Linked DNA regions of Rattus norvegicus. The protein of the gene in region 1 purifies or fractionates together with the protein of each later gene. This does not show direct contact. Links are inferred from orthologs where the notes say so. Each region holds a gene or a part of one and is shown in the gene's direction. Other genes may lie near its edges.

Evidence for each region.
Region 2: the proteins of Cct3 (region 1) and Tle2 purify together in Homo sapiens (affinity purification with mass spectrometry; 3 studies listed by BioGRID and IntAct, with this or other methods). This does not show direct contact. The link is inferred for Rattus norvegicus from reciprocal best matches to the Homo sapiens genes CCT3 and TLE2.
Region 3: the proteins of Cct3 (region 1) and Nedd1 purify together in Homo sapiens (affinity purification with mass spectrometry; 3 studies listed by BioGRID and IntAct, with this or other methods). This does not show direct contact. The link is inferred for Rattus norvegicus from reciprocal best matches to the Homo sapiens genes CCT3 and NEDD1.
Region 4: the proteins of Cct3 (region 1) and Wrap53 purify together in Homo sapiens (co-immunoprecipitation; 3 studies listed by BioGRID and IntAct, with this or other methods). This does not show direct contact. The link is inferred for Rattus norvegicus from reciprocal best matches to the Homo sapiens genes CCT3 and WRAP53.

The regions. Positions count from the first base shown.
Region 1 is NC_086020.1:176,062,381-176,066,342, forward strand, and holds the start of Cct3 (T-complex protein 1 subunit gamma), read left to right. Parts: upstream 1-1,148; 5' UTR 1,149-1,258; coding exon 1,259-1,289; intron 1,290-3,308; coding exon 3,309-3,370; intron 3,371-3,962. UniProt on the Homo sapiens protein: Component of the chaperonin-containing T-complex (TRiC), a molecular chaperone complex that assists the folding of actin, tubulin and other proteins upon ATP hydrolysis.
Region 2 is NC_086025.1:8,779,494-8,783,009, reverse strand, and holds part of Tle2 (transducin-like enhancer protein 2), read left to right. Parts: intron 1-84; coding exon 85-147; intron 148-2,427; coding exon 2,428-2,502; intron 2,503-2,631; coding exon 2,632-2,815; intron 2,816-3,046; coding exon 3,047-3,066; intron 3,067-3,516.
Region 3 is NC_086025.1:29,123,635-29,127,150, reverse strand, and holds part of Nedd1 (protein NEDD1), read left to right. Parts: intron 1-1,240; coding exon 1,241-1,397; intron 1,398-2,165; coding exon 2,166-2,322; intron 2,323-2,969; exon of another isoform or gene 2,970-3,112; intron 3,113-3,516. UniProt on the Homo sapiens protein: Required for mitosis progression. Promotes the nucleation of microtubules from the spindle.
Region 4 is NC_086028.1:54,780,652-54,784,167, reverse strand, and holds the end of Wrap53 (telomerase Cajal body protein 1), read left to right. Parts: intron 1-1,105; exon of another isoform or gene 1,106-1,135; coding exon 1,136-1,224; intron 1,225-1,447; coding exon 1,448-1,538; intron 1,539-1,642; coding exon 1,643-1,775; intron 1,776-2,213; coding exon 2,214-2,422; intron 2,423-2,568; coding exon 2,569-2,672; intron 2,673-2,793; coding exon 2,794-2,931; intron 2,932-3,034; coding exon 3,035-3,275; 3' UTR 3,276-3,293; downstream 3,294-3,516. UniProt on the Homo sapiens protein: RNA chaperone that plays a key role in telomere maintenance and RNA localization to Cajal bodies. Specifically recognizes and binds the Cajal body box (CAB box) present in both small Cajal body RNAs (scaRNAs) and telomerase RNA template component (TERC).

The DNA.
Region 1 (3,962 bases):
CCTTCAAGTCTTCTAAATGTTTAATTACTAGCCTTGTTTTTTGTTTTTTCCTATATGGAGTGATCTGGCAAGAGGGCTGTCTCCAGTTTGCGACCCGCCTGGGCTACACGAGTCTTGGGCCAGCCTTGGAACTCTAGTAAGATAATATGGTAATTTAAAAAACTACAGCTCCCTTTCCTTGGTCACTAACCAGTGATCAGGCTATGCAGTGGGGGGAAAAGGCTCAAAATTCTACAAGAAACACGACTTAGGATATTCGGGGTAAATGTAAGAGCTTCTCCTTTACGTCTTATTGCCTTAAGATTCAAAGTAATTTTTCTAAGACGTAAAACATTAGGACAGGAGAGATAGCTCAACAGTTAAGAGCACTAGATGGTCCCACAGAGGCCATGGGTTCACTTCCTAGCACCCACGTGGTCCCACGAGGTGGTTCACAATCATCAATTCCAGTTCCAGAGGATCAGACTCCCTCCTGATCTCCTCTCGCAAGTGGTGCACCTACATACGCATAGGCAAACCCACCATACACATAAAAATAAAAAAAAAAATAGGTACATCTAAAACACCAAGATTTTTCTTTTCTTTTCTTTTAAAGAAAAGCAGCGCGTCTAGAATAAACCACAACTCCCAGCATGCTCCGGGGTGGGGTGGGGGAGCCGTTGCGGCCCCGCCTCATAGGAAAACCTCCACTTCTACACCGCCTCAATATTTCTGGCAACTACCGGTATTTCCGGCTCCTGTGCTCCTCCCTACTGCTAAAGCTGGAATAAAAAGTGGCGAACTATTATGCCTTTCTTGGCCTTCACGGTCGGACGAGAACCGATGGACAAAATAGAGCTTCATGATCTCACCTACAGCATTAATCCAAAGCCTCAACCCCAGCACCCACCCTCTAGCGGGCACTCAAGCGCTGTAGCGAGCCAGCTAACCGCCCGTGCCTTGGCGCTTGCGCAGACATTCTGCCCGCACGCGGCCGGGAGCGGCCACGCTAGTGCGCAAGCGCTTGCGTCCCCCCACCCATCATGCTCTCTCTAGCTAGCTTGCCGTGCCTTTCTTGCGTAGAGGGCGGGGCTAATACCTACGATTGGCCTATGTTTATGCCAATCAATGAAATGGGCTTAGTGATTGGCGGTACTTCAGAGGTTAGCATGTTTCTGTGTCAGTCCTGAGGAGGCAGCGTTTCCTTCGCTGCTCTTCTCTCCAGAAGGTTCTGCCGATTTCCCCCAGCTCTGGAAAGTCGGCTCTTCGTCGTGCCGCCATGATGGGCCACCGTCCAGTGCTCGTGCTCAGTGAGTTCAGGGAAGCGATGGCTCCCTCCGCCCCTCTCTCCCCATGCTTGCCAGTGTTTCCCGGCCCCGTCCCGCCATGACTCGGCCCTCGTGCTTTCCAGTCGTCTTTTCGCCTTAGAACCTCCTTCCTTAGTTTTTCTCCTCCTGCCTTCTCCTGTCGCCCTCTTTTGACAAAATGACTTTCTGCTCTCGGAGTCGCTAGTTTTTAACGTGTGCTTTATCCCATTTGTGTTCCGTTCTTTAGTCGCCACCCTCCACGCCCCCGTGTCCTTTACAGCATGATTTCCGTCTGGTAGTTAGTAATAGTGGTTCTTAACGTTAGGCCTTGCTTCGTATCCTCGGTCCATCCCTTAGGAGAGGCGTGACTTACGGCAACTCGCTTGATTTATGCTTTAATAACAGTGTTTAGGAGACCGTAGTACTTCTCCAAAGAATTATGAGTTAAGTTGGTAAGTAAAGCTTCCTTTACCGGCAGATCGGAAATGGCATCTTTTCAGTAGCGGTCATTCAGCAACCCTTGTTCTGAAATGACATTCCTTGCGTTCCCGATCTTGAATGTGATCTTTCCCACCAGCCAGTTAAGTTCTCCCAGATTCCTCTCCTGTTTTCTTTAACTAACGCCTCTCATCTCAGTAAAGAGCACCAGTTCCTTGTCAGTTACCCGAGCTATTGAGAATAATTCAGTAAACCGGGTTCAAAGTTAAGACATACTAAAGAGAAAAACATGTAGTATGGCCACACTGAGAGGAGAGACAAAGGGGTTCAGTGACACTACCCCTCCTACCAACACTTAGATGAACGAATCTATGGGGTTTTAATTAGCAGACCAGAGGCATAAGGAGTCATCGTTTTCTGCTCTAGTCTCCTGAGAAAGTTTACCTACAGGCTGGCTCTCCAGGCATCAACATCCCCTGGAACTGGAGTTATGGGCTGTTGTGACCACCATGGGGGGCTGGGAATTGAAGCTGAACCATCTTTCCAGCCTCACAAGCACACTTTCTTGGTCACTAATCTTTGAGACTCTGTAGCTCCTAATCCCACGGAGGTTGTAAGGGATGTGCACTCTGGGAAAAATCACCATCCTGCTGAGCCCCATTCAGGGACCTAAAGATATGAATCGCTGGAAGTGTGTGAGCATGCATACAAGGAAAGTATTGGTCAAGATTCTGAAGTTAAAGCATTTCAGGTTATCTCTTAATGTACTGGGGCTTCTCTTCATTCTGTGTGTCTTTTGCCTGCATGTATGTCAGTGTCTGCAGACACCAGAAGAGGACATCAGATCCCCTGGAAGTGTAGTTATAGATGGTTGTGAGCTTCCATGTTGATGCTGAAATAGAACCAGAGTTCTCTGCAAGAGCTTCCAATGCTTTTAACTACAGGGCCATCTCTCCAGCCCCTAAAGGTGCTTTTTGAGACAGGATCTCACTTTGTAACTCTGACTGGCCTGGAACTTTATAGACCGAGTTGAGTTGGTTCAGAAATTCATCTGCATCTCCAGTGCTCAGATTAAAGGCATATGCTACCATGCCCAGTCTTAAACCATTGTAATTGTAACTGCTGGTTATACACTGAAACCTTTGTATTTTTGTTTTCAAAACTTGATAAATAAGGTTGGTGGTAGGATCCCTAAGCAGGTTTAAAAAGAAAAAAAGCACCAAGCCTAATAATAACTGGAGGTCTTTTTATTATGGTTTGTTTGTTTCGTTTGAGACAGGTTCTCTATGTAAACCAGGCTGGCTTCCAAGTCACAGAGATCCTCCTGACTCTGCCTTATAAGTGCTGGGGTCAGAGACATGCGCCACCATACCTGACTTAGATGACCAAGTTTAATCCCTGGCACTTATATGATAGAAAGAGAATTTAGTCCTGAAAGTTGTCTTCTGACCTCCAAAGTTGTGCTACGCATTGTACACTTGATATGTACATATATACATTAAAAAATGTAAACATTTTCTTTAAGTTAGGAAATAAAATGATTGTGTACACTGGGCTATTGACACGTGTTTTTGTCTGTTTTAGGTCAGAATACAAAGCGTGAGTCTGGAAGAAAAGTTCAATCTGGAAATATCAATGCTGCAAAGGTAACACATGTTTTAAGTGATAATAGCAGTTCATTCTGGATGACTCCCTAATATTTCAAATATTACAAATCTTCATTATTTGTAATAGCAAACTTCCTATGGTTCTGTACAGTTGAACAGAGGAAAACGCATGTTTCCCTGACAGTGATACAGGAAGGGAGGTTTTTAAAGATTTACTTATTTATTCATTGTTTGAGTGTTTTGCCTCCAAGTATGTGTACGTGTACCATGTGCATGCCTGATGCACAAGAAGCCTAGAAGAGGTTGTCAGATCCCCCTGGAACTGGAGTTCCAGGCTGTTATGAAAGTTACTATGTGAGTGGTAGGACTTCTGAAAGAGCCTAGGTCCTCTGAAAGAACCCTGTCCCCTCTTTGGAGACAGGATCTTGTCGGGGTTGCCTAGAATTTTCTATGCACGCCAGACTATCTTTGGACTCAGATCTGCTTGCCTTTGTCTCCCAAATCCTGGAACTAAAATCATGTGCCAGCACACTTTCAAACTCATAAATATATTTTTAAGTGAATGATTGAAAGACTTGATTTCATGTGGCTTAGAGACCACTGTCAGTAAAAATATTAAGGCTGGACTCTT
Region 2 (3,516 bases), on another chromosome or scaffold:
AGTCCAGCTGGGGTCTGGATGATGGAGGTGGCTGTCCCCCTCCCAGCCCATCCAGCTTGCTGCAGCTTGTTACTTCTCTCTCAGGCTGAGATCGTGAAGCGCCTCAGTGCAATCTGTGCCCAGATGGTCCCATTCCTCACTCAGGAGGTAAGTGCATAGAGCCTTGGGGGCAGGGAGGGCGTCCCAGGCCTGGGGAGACACCGGCTGGGGTGAGGACCAGGGGACTTTCTGCCCTTCCTATGTTCATGTGTGCACTCATAACTAGGCCAGAAGTCAGCCTCAGTGTGCCTCCCGAGGTGCCATCCACCTTCATTTGCTTTTATTACACTTTTATGCACTTATTTAATTTTATATGTATGGGTGTTTTGTCTGCGTAGCTGTACACCATGTGTGCAGTACCCGCAGAGGCCGGAAGAGTGCACTGTGTCCTCTGGAATTGGAGTTGTGACGGCTTGTGAGCCAGGAATCGAACCCTGTTCCTTTGAGAGAGCAACCAGAGCTCTTAGCCACTGAGCCAACCTATAATTTATTTTTTGGGAGGAGGTACAAGGGCCATAGCACACATATGGAGGTCAGAGGTCAACTTGCAGGAACTGGCCCTCTCCTCTCACTCTGTGGCTTGTTGTTGGCTAGGCCACAATGCTTTCACATGCTCACACACCTTGCTATCCCGTCCTTTAACTAGGCAGGGACTCTGACTGGCCTGGAACTTTGCCAAGTTGGCAATGCTGTCCAGTCAGTGAGTCCCAGGATCTTCCTGTCTCCTCACAGGTGCTAGAATTATAGACACACACTACCATGCCTGGCTTTCTTCAGGGTTTCTGGAGAATCAAACTCAGGTCCCTATGCTTGCATGACAAGTACTTTACTGATTCAGCCATTTCTCTAAGCCTGGCTCTCTGCTCTCGATGGTGCTAGCTAGGGGTGCCCCTGTACCCATGGCTTACATCTTGTAGCCTCCTGCAGCCAGGGCTGCTGGTACAAGGCCTGGCTTTGTGCTCTTGGGCAAGATACATGCCTCTCTGTGCTTATGTCCTGGTTAGGGTATCCTGAGAGTTAGGTGAGCAATTATGGGACTAATCTTACAGGGTGATGCTTGGTGAGTTGGGCCACACACGGGACAATATGCAGGTTTCCTTTCCCAAGGACTCTGAAATTATCAGATCCAGGGCCAGGAAGTGGGGGGTTGGGAAGTTCCAGAGGTGGGTGGTGGGGAAGGCCACACAGCCCTGTGAATGAGTTTCATGTCACTGAGCCTGAGCCGGTCGTGTGCTTGAAATGGCTCTGATTAGCAAGTTTTGTTAGGCATTTTTAGGACAGTGATTTTGAAAACACAGAATCAGCACAGGCAGAGGCTAAACATCAGAAAACTTTGTGTGAGCAATTCCTCACTCCTGCTGACCACAGGACCTTGGTGTTAGCCATTCCCACTTCTATGTGATGTTCCTCCAGAGACACGGCAGGTCCCACCTCAGGGTGGGCATGCTGGGTGCCCCACATGGCCAGAATCCTCAGCTTTCTTCTGTGGGACCTGCTGCCTTTCCCCTGAGAGTGGGTGACAGATCATATCACAGTGAGGCCAGCTACCAACCTGAGTAGAGCCACCAGACATGTGTGTTCAAATTTATTGACTCCATCCATATTTAATGTTGTGCTGGGGATATACACGCTGGGTGGGTCTTCCCCTGACCTGTATGCCCAGCCCCAGGTTGCACATTCTGAGGTGGGTGCTTAGTATGTGGGTACTTGGCATGTAGGTACTTAGTATGTGGGTACTTGGCATGTAGGTGCTCGGTATGTGGGCACTTGGCATGTAGGTGCTTGGTATGTGAGCACTTGGCATGTAGGTGCTTGGTATGTGAGCACTTGGCATGTAGGTGCTTGGTATGTGAGCACTTGGCATGTAGGTGCTTGGAATGCAGGTATTTTATTTTGTATGTGAGTGGTTATTCATTACACTGTCTATGCGGACAGACCGTGGTGTTACATGGACCTCCTAGCAAGTGGTTAGAGGCTGGAACACTGCCCAGCAGCCTTCAGGGTCCAGTAAGCTCCACAAAGCACTGGAACTGTGGCCCCAGGGCCTGGGGAAGAGGCCAGGTCTCTGAACTGTCAGTTAAACAGTCAGAGAGGGGCTGGGGAAGGTGGCCCACAAGCATGAGGACCTGAGTTCAAATCTCCAGCAACCAGAAGAACCAACCAGGTGTGGTGTTTCTCCTCTGTAACTGCAGCAGGGGAGACAGGGACAGGAGATCCTGGGGTTACTGGACAGATTACAGCTGGGCCGGGAGACCCACCGCAAAATAAGGTGGGAGATGGCAGTAGCACCCGCCGTGTCTCCACACGCAGAGGCACACATAGACAGACAGACAAACAGACAGACTGCACGGCCTGCTGCTCAGTGCCTGCCTTCCGCTTCCCCACTAGCATCAGCAGCAGGTGCTCCAGGCTGTGGACCGAGCCAAGCAGGTGACCGTGGGGGAACTGAACAACCTCTTGGGGGTGAGTCACCCCAGCCCATAATTGGAGACACCCTGCTCCCAGCCCAGGCACCCAGTGGGTACAGCATTCACCCTCCGTGTACCCTGTCCCCGCCACCCGCCTCCCCCTGGCAATCCTCTCCCCCTTCAGCAGCAGAATCAGCTCCAGCCGCTGTCCCATGCACCCCCTGTGCCTCTCACCCCACGCCCAGCTGGCCTGGTGGGTGCCGGGGCCACTGGGCTGCTGGCCCTCTCTGGGGCGCTGGCTGCGCAGGCCCAGCTGGTGGCTGCTGTTAAGGAAGACCGTGTGGGTGTGGACACCGAGGGGTCCAGAGGTGAGTTAGCAACTCAGCGCTGGCGGGAGGGGGACAGCTAGTAGGGCTGCAGCTGTGGGGTTCGATTTTCATGCTGTTTGTCCTTGGGAACACACTAGCTGTCTCTGCAGAGGCATCTCCCTGGGATGTGGGAGGTCAGGCTCTGACCAGGAAGGAGCTGTTTCACTCGCCGAAGCCTTGCATGGTTACAAACCCCTAATCATGTTTCCTTCTGGCTTCCTGCGTCTGCAGTGGACAGAGCTGCCAGCAGGGTGAGTGCCAGCCATGAGAACTTGCTTGTCTTTAAGTAGGCTAGGGGACTGGGGGTGCTGCCTGTCCCCAGCCTTCACCACCTGGGCGCTGTGAGGACACCAGTGCCACCACATCCAGTGTACAGGGCCTGGTGAACGAGATGTGAGCTGTTACTTTATGAACAGGGCCTCACTCACAGAGATCCTCCTGCTTCTTGGATTGTGACATTAGAACCGCCAAGCCAGCTGTGGTGTATTTAATTTGAGGCATGGCCTTGTTTTATAGCCCATACTGCATTGAATTTAGGACAATTCTTCTGCCTCAGTGTCTTAAATTCTGCTATAATGGGTGTACGCCAGCAAGACCTGCTTGGCTCCTCATGCAGACAGACGTTTTGCTTAGCTGAGAGCTCCCATCCCCCACTCTCAAGGGGTTGGCCATGGATTTTCCGTGGATTACAGGTCTCTCTG
Region 3 (3,516 bases), on another chromosome or scaffold:
AGGGCGGCCGCCAGTATCTGTGTCTTAATTATTAATGCTGTGTACTTACTAGGCAGGAACATAGGTTTAAATCTTGATGCCAGTTTTTAATAACTGAAGAACAGTTCTGAAACCTGTCAAACCTTGTCTGGGCTACAGATAACCACATATCTGCAAGAGAATACCTTATAACTGAATTTTTTTTTTTTTTTGAGGAGAAATAATTTTTATTCTCATGAAGGCAAGGGAAAGACTGAACCTCATGTTTAAATAGAGAAAAATCAAATTAAAATAATGTATATTATCACCCTATATCTGTGTGCGTTCTTCATTCTTATTGAAGAAAAGAAATTTCCAATTAATTCTTACTTCTGAAAAGTAAAGCTAAAATACTGGTGGATGTGTTTTTATGCATATTTTTCAGTTCACTGGGTCTGCCTGAGTAAAATCCTGATTTCTTAAGGAGACGTAAAAGAAAGGAGATATGTGTGTGGGAGGGTGGGGGTTGGGGGAATGTATGTGAGATTCTTTTAAAACATATTTCTACTGCAGCCTAAAGCAAGCTGGTGATCAAGTGGTTCTTAGTGGTAGAGCAAATCTGAGGGTGCTAAGAATGACTAAAGTATTAGCACCTTGGGTCTCAGGTTATAGGAAGGTCAACCTATAGGTATTCAAATAGCTGTGTTTTTTTTCTTATTTACACTTAAAAGTACAAGACAAAAGAGAATCAAGCCAGAAGTACAAAAAATGTCTTTAGTTTGCAGTATTTCCATCTAGATACTACATGAAAGGCCAGAGTTCTCTTCTCTCCCCTCCTTCTTCTCCCAGGGATTTGCATTATCGTGTGTAGTCAGCAAGTGCTTAGTAGATTAGCTTGTTGTAAAATGCACATTTTGATTAACATGCTTGCTGTGCTGCTAGCACTGGCTTCTTCTCAGTCTCTCTCTGTCTCTCATTTTCCTGACCCTGCCTGTGGGGAGAGCAGTGAGAACCAGATACAAAGTTTGTGGGTAATAGGATAAAATAAGAAATGGCATATTAGGGCTGGAGAGATGGCTCAGTGGTTAAGAGCACTGACTGCTCTTCCTGAGGTCCTGAGTTCAATTCCCAGCAACCACATGGTGGCTCACAACCATCTGTAAAGAGATCTGATGCCCTCTTCTGGTGTGTCTGAAGACAGCTACAGTGTACTCATATATAATAAATGAATAAAAAAAAAAAGAAATGGCATATTAAAGTGACTGTTTGTTTTAAATACAAGTTTACAAAGTTGATCTCCTCTGGTGCTGAACCTGGAATTCTAAACACCTGTCCATCATCTAACCAAGCAAGAAATCTTGAAAAGTTTGAAAAGCCAGAAAAAGATATTGAAGTCCAGTTGATGCACGAACCCTCAGTCAATGGACCCTCAACCCCAGGTAAGCACAGTGAAGGGCCTCAGGTTTGAAATGTGCAGTTGGAAAGGTCCCTGGCTTTTCTGCTTTTAAGGGATGAACAGAACAACCATGGGCCAGATAACACCAAAGGAATGCGTTATAGACCGCTGAGCTTCTTGTTAGAAGGCACGAGAGTTTGTTAAATCCATCAACCCTGATTTCATCGTTTGACATGAGCCTCTCTCTCAGTCTAATATACAAGGGCTTGGTTTAACTCCGCGTGCATAATGAAGAAAGGCTTTTTGGAAGGGCTTGAATTCTGTAGAAAATTTGTATTAGGTTTTATAGTTAGAGTTTATGCTGTAGACACATAAGACCCAGTTGCATTTAAGGGAGCTCAGCTGGCCTCTAAGAGAAGATGTCTAAGAGAGGCTTTGCCAGTGGCGCTGCTTCAAGCCTGCGTCCCTCCTGTTTGTTTTCAGTCGTCCTGGTTTATCTGGTTTGTGCTGCAACTTGTCACAGACATCTTTTATAAGGGAAAATGGTTCAGGGATTCTTCAAGATTAATCCCTCTGTCATGTGTTACGACATTAGACAGTTGGCAGTTTATATATACAGATAAATGACTGTTAGAAATAATGTCATAGAAAGTTTCTAAAATTTGGACTCCAGACAGTGGGTTTTTCTAAATGTCATAGGAACACTGTTCTTTTTGCAGTTTCCCAAGTCTTTCTTTACCAAATCTTATTTAGAAATGCTTGATGTCTTTTAGTCCAAGCTAACTATCAATATTTTCTCCATTTGTTCTAGTACCAAAGGCAGCCTCCTCCGTCACTGCTGGAGTAGCCAGTTCACTCTCAGAAAAAATAGTCGACACCCTTGGGAACAGTCGGCCGGCCGCGCCACTTACCTCTGTCCAGATCCGCTTCATTCAGAACATGATACAAGAAACCCTGGATGACTTCAGGTAGCACTGAGACTGCTCACCTCAGTCACTCAGTTTGTCTCTACCTGGGTGAAACCAGAGCCAGAGCTCATCTTGGTAACTCACACGTGTCTAGGTTATGATGACCACAAAAACGGAAAACATGAGTTTTGATCTTTGTGTACTGTGGAAAGGCGCATTGCCAAGCCTGCAGTCTGGTGTGCAGCATGACCTTGTGGATTCTGAGTCTTCACATGTGGGCAGATGTTTACATACTCAAATGTCCTCTCACATCCAGTACTTAAAGACCACCTTTAAGTGCTCTACAGCAGGGCACGTGGGAAACAGACCTTTTGTGCTTGTTGTATATTTTGTGTGGGAGTAGGGCAGGGAGTATTTGCCTCTGCACCCACGTGGAGGTTGGGGTCAGATTGCAGCGTCAGTTCTGCTGCTGTCTGGGTTCTGGCGATGAAATTTCAGTCTTCAGGCTTGGCAGCGAGTGCCTGTAGCCAGTGCAGCCCCTCACCAGGCCCGAAAGGCACCTTTAAATGTACTTCTAAATGGTTTTACATGGGTGACTTCAGGATCTTACAGGTGTGTGTGTGTGTGTGTGTGTGTGTGTGTGTGAATCTTTCTGTAACTTGACTTTGTTCTTTCTATCATTTGAATTTTCATTATAAAGTTCTGTTTGATGACTGTTCCTCCTGTTGCCTTTAGGTATGGCACTAGGATTTTAGGTCATCATAAATTAAAATAGATTTTTTTCACTCAGAGAATATTAAGATATTGAGATTATCTGTATATTCTCTGAAATTTTCAGAATCAAACAAAAAATGTTAACATGTTCTAGAACATCACCACTTCATTTTCATGGCTATTTCAGGCCTTAGAAGTTATTTTCAGTTGCTAACTGTTTTATGAGATCCCCCCCCCTTCTAACTTATAATTACTGGGATTTTAATGAGAAGAAAATTGAAGATGTATAGTTTTTAACTGGTGCAAATTTTTTAATGTTTAAAATATTTAAAATACATTTTAAGTATTAGAGATTCTCTCTTTGAAAGATCATCTTTTTGGTAATTCTGGTGTACCTAGTTTATATGTATCAGATATTAATGCAGAAGTGGGAATCTTCCCACGGTGGCCATAGTTTCTTTAGAATAAGTACATCATATCCTGGAAGGACGTGTGTGTGTGTGTGTGTGTGTGTGTGTGTGTGTGTGTGTGTGTGTGTGT
Region 4 (3,516 bases), on another chromosome or scaffold:
TCACAGCAGTTCCTTCTGTCTTGGGTTCAAATAAATGCTGGGGTTACAGGCAAGAGACCGCTGGATAGAAAGGTCATAGGTACTTGCTTGTTTGTGGCAGAGAAGATTGACCCAAGGGCCTCATGCTGGCCAGACAGGTCTTCTACCACTGCAGTGTGCCCACAGCCCTCGCTTTGCTTTTTAAGTGTTCATTTGTGTGTTTGCTGAGGATGCGGCCTGCTCAGTAGAGAACCTGTCTCACAAACATAAAGCCCTTGGTTCCTTTCCCGGCAAAACAGGCTGTGATGACACACACCTGTGACCCTGTCCTCTGGAGGTGGAGGCAGGAGGATCAGAAGTTCAGGGCCAGGTACTGGAGAGATGGCTCAGTGGTTAAGAGCACTGACTGCTCTTCCAGAGGTCCTGAGTTCAATTCCCAGCAACCACATGGTGGCTCACAACCATCTGTAAAGAGATCTGACGCCCTCCTCTGGTGTGTCTGAAGACAGTGACAGTGTAGTTATATAGAATAAATAAATTAAAAAAAAGAAGTTCAGGGCCAGTCTGGGATCTAGGAAATCCTGTCTGGGGGCAAATATCTGGGGTGGTGCTACAGGTAGAGATGTTAGATTTCTAGAGCCATACACTGGAAGGAAAGAACCTATTCATCACTTGAGGTCGTCCTCTGGCTTCCACATGGTGCAGTGCTGTCTGAGCACACACATGCATGGTATTTCAGATGTCCTTGCAGCTTTGCACTTTTATTTATTTTTGCATTGCCGACGATCGGACTCAGGGCCTTGCGAGTGGCAGGCAATCAATGTTGCCGCTGTGCTAAATCCCTAGGGCCTGGTAATTTTTATAAGGGATAGAATGCCACAGACCCTGATTGGTTCTTTGTCTTTAGATTAGGGTATTATTTGTATCTTCCACAAGTGTTTAAAAGAATTCTGAATCTGCTGCCTTTGGTGGCCCGGCCTGACAGTAGTGCCTGAGTTGAATGCTAGAACAGTAAGGGTTCTGTTCTTTGTGCCCCACCTGCTTTCTCCTACCTCCTAAGTTAGTCTCCCACTGTCGCAGCTCCCCTCAGGCAGTGTACAAGTTTTTGCCTGCTTTCCCCCGCCAGTGACTCCAGCGTTCCCACATCTCTGTCCAGGTTCCTGTCCTGCGAATGGTAGAGGGTGACACCATCTATGATTACTGCTGGTATTCTCTGATGTCCTCCACCCAGCCAGACACCTCCTAGTAAGTGGTAGTGTCTCTCACTGTGCACTTCACTGTGGTCCCCATCATCCCCTTACCCAGCCCACACATCCAGTTTCAAGAAGGGCTACCAGGAAGGAGGGAGGGAGGGAGGAAAGGAGAGAGAAGGTGCTAAGAGTGTCCTTCTGACAGAAGCTGAGAGGGCTGGGCACTTGGCTTCCCTTTGACAGTCAGAGCCAGGTCTGAGTGACTGTGTTTCTCTTAGTGTGGCCAGCAGCAGCCGGGAGAACCCAATTCACATCTGGGATGCATTCACTGGAGAACTCCGGGCTTCCTTTCGCGCTTACAACCACCTGGTACTGACTCCCCTGCCCGGCACTGTGCTCCCTGTGGCCTGGCCCTCCTTCCTGGAAGAGAACTGAAGCTTTGCAGACCTTTTCCAGCCCTCTCTTGCCCCTAGGACGAGTTGACAGCGGCCCACTCACTCTGTTTCTCCCCGGATGGTTCCCAACTCTTTTGTGGCTTCAACCGGACTGTGCGTGTCTTTTCCACATCCAGGCCTGGCAGAGACTGTGAGGTGCGAACCACATTTGGTAAGCCTCCAAGGTGGGGGAGATGAGAGAGTCTTTCCTGGGAGGGGGCCTTGAGTGAGCTGGGGCACCTGTGGGAACCTGGGAGGCACGTGCCAGCTCCAGAGAGACAGAAGCCTCCGAGCATGGAGGAGACTCCTCAGGCTCTTGTGTTAGACAAGCATTGTACCACTGAACTTTAGAAAGGTGAAAGCGAAGGGGAGTCCCGTTCCCTGTAGGCCTTTAGTTCTCTATCCCTTCCAGGGAGAAGTTGGGTGTGAGAGGGAAGAGGGATGCTAAGTTCATTTGGGAACTGAGTGATCTGGGAACCATTAGAGATCTTTAGATTGCTTTCGACAGTCAGTGGGGGAATGAGTCCCAGTACGCACGTCAGTCCAGGGCAGGTGGAGGTCTGTAGCTAGTTAATGTCCTGTGCTAACTGTTTCCTTGTTTTCTCCCCAGCCAAAAAGCAGGGCCAGAGTGGCATCATCTCCTGTCTAGCCTTTAGTCCAGCCCAGCCCCTCTATGCCTGTGGCTCCTATGGCCGCACCCTGGGCCTGTATGCCTGGGATGATGGTTCACCTCTTGCCTTGCTGGGGGGCCATCAAGGAGGTATCACCCACCTTTGCTTTCACCCTGATGGCAACCTCTTCTTCTCAGGAGCCCGAAAGGTACTGGACAGGGCCCAAAGCACATGGGTAGTCAGGAGTGGGATGTCATTTGTTACGTGTTGAGACGTGCCAAGTACGAGGGATTCGGGGAGGCCGAGGTGGAGTCAGAGGAGAGGCTGACTCCAGACGCCTGTTCTTGTCCTCAGGATGCTGAACTTCTGTGCTGGGATCTCCGGCAGCCGGGCCACCTCCTGTGGTCTCTGAGTCGGGAAGTGACCACCAATCAGCGCATCTACTTTGATCTGGACCCGTAAGTGGTTGTGGCCCCTCCCAGGCTCAAGTAAGACTGTCAGAGTCTTGCCGCACCTGGATATGAATGGCCTCTACCCCACGGGCGGTGCCAGTGTAGCACAAGTCTCCTTCTTTCCCAGGAGCGGGCAGTTCCTAGTGAGTGGCAACACCAGTGGAGTTGTCTCCGTGTGGGACATCAGTGGAGCGTTCAGTGACTGCAAGCAGCTGGAGCCAGTGATGACTTTTCTGCCCCAGGACGACTGCACCAATGGAGTCAGGTCCTCAGTTCACTGAAGGAGCTTGGGGCCAGGGTTTGGGAGGAAGGTGGATCTCTCGGGGATTGTCCTGACCTAGGTGCTGACAGACTGCTCTCTTCTCCAGCCTTCACCCTACCTTGCCTCTGCTGGCCACTGCTTCTGGCCAGCGCATGTTTCCAGAGCCCACCAATAGCGGGGATGAAGGTGAGCCGGAGCTGGACCTTCCCCTGCTCTCCCTGCGCCACGCCCATCCTGAATGTCAGCTACAGCTCTGGTGGTGTGGAGGGGGACCTGACCCCAGTAACCCTGATGAGGACCAGGATGAGAAGGGACAAGGAAGGACAGAGGCTGTCGGAATGAGTTAATATAAAGACTTTGTATCACACTGGAGTCATTGTGTCTGTTTGGGGCGGCACGTGACTGGTGGGAGTTTGGTAGGGGCGGCAGTAGGTTCCTTTGTCCAGCATCTGTGGGGTCTGGCACATTGTTCCCAAAACCAGGGGCTGAGAGGTGGGACCAGGCAGGAGCCAATGAGGGGCTGAGCATGGTGTGAAGTCAAGCAGGTGGGGGTGGGGTCTCGTGCCATTGACTGTGTGGTTGCTAGGC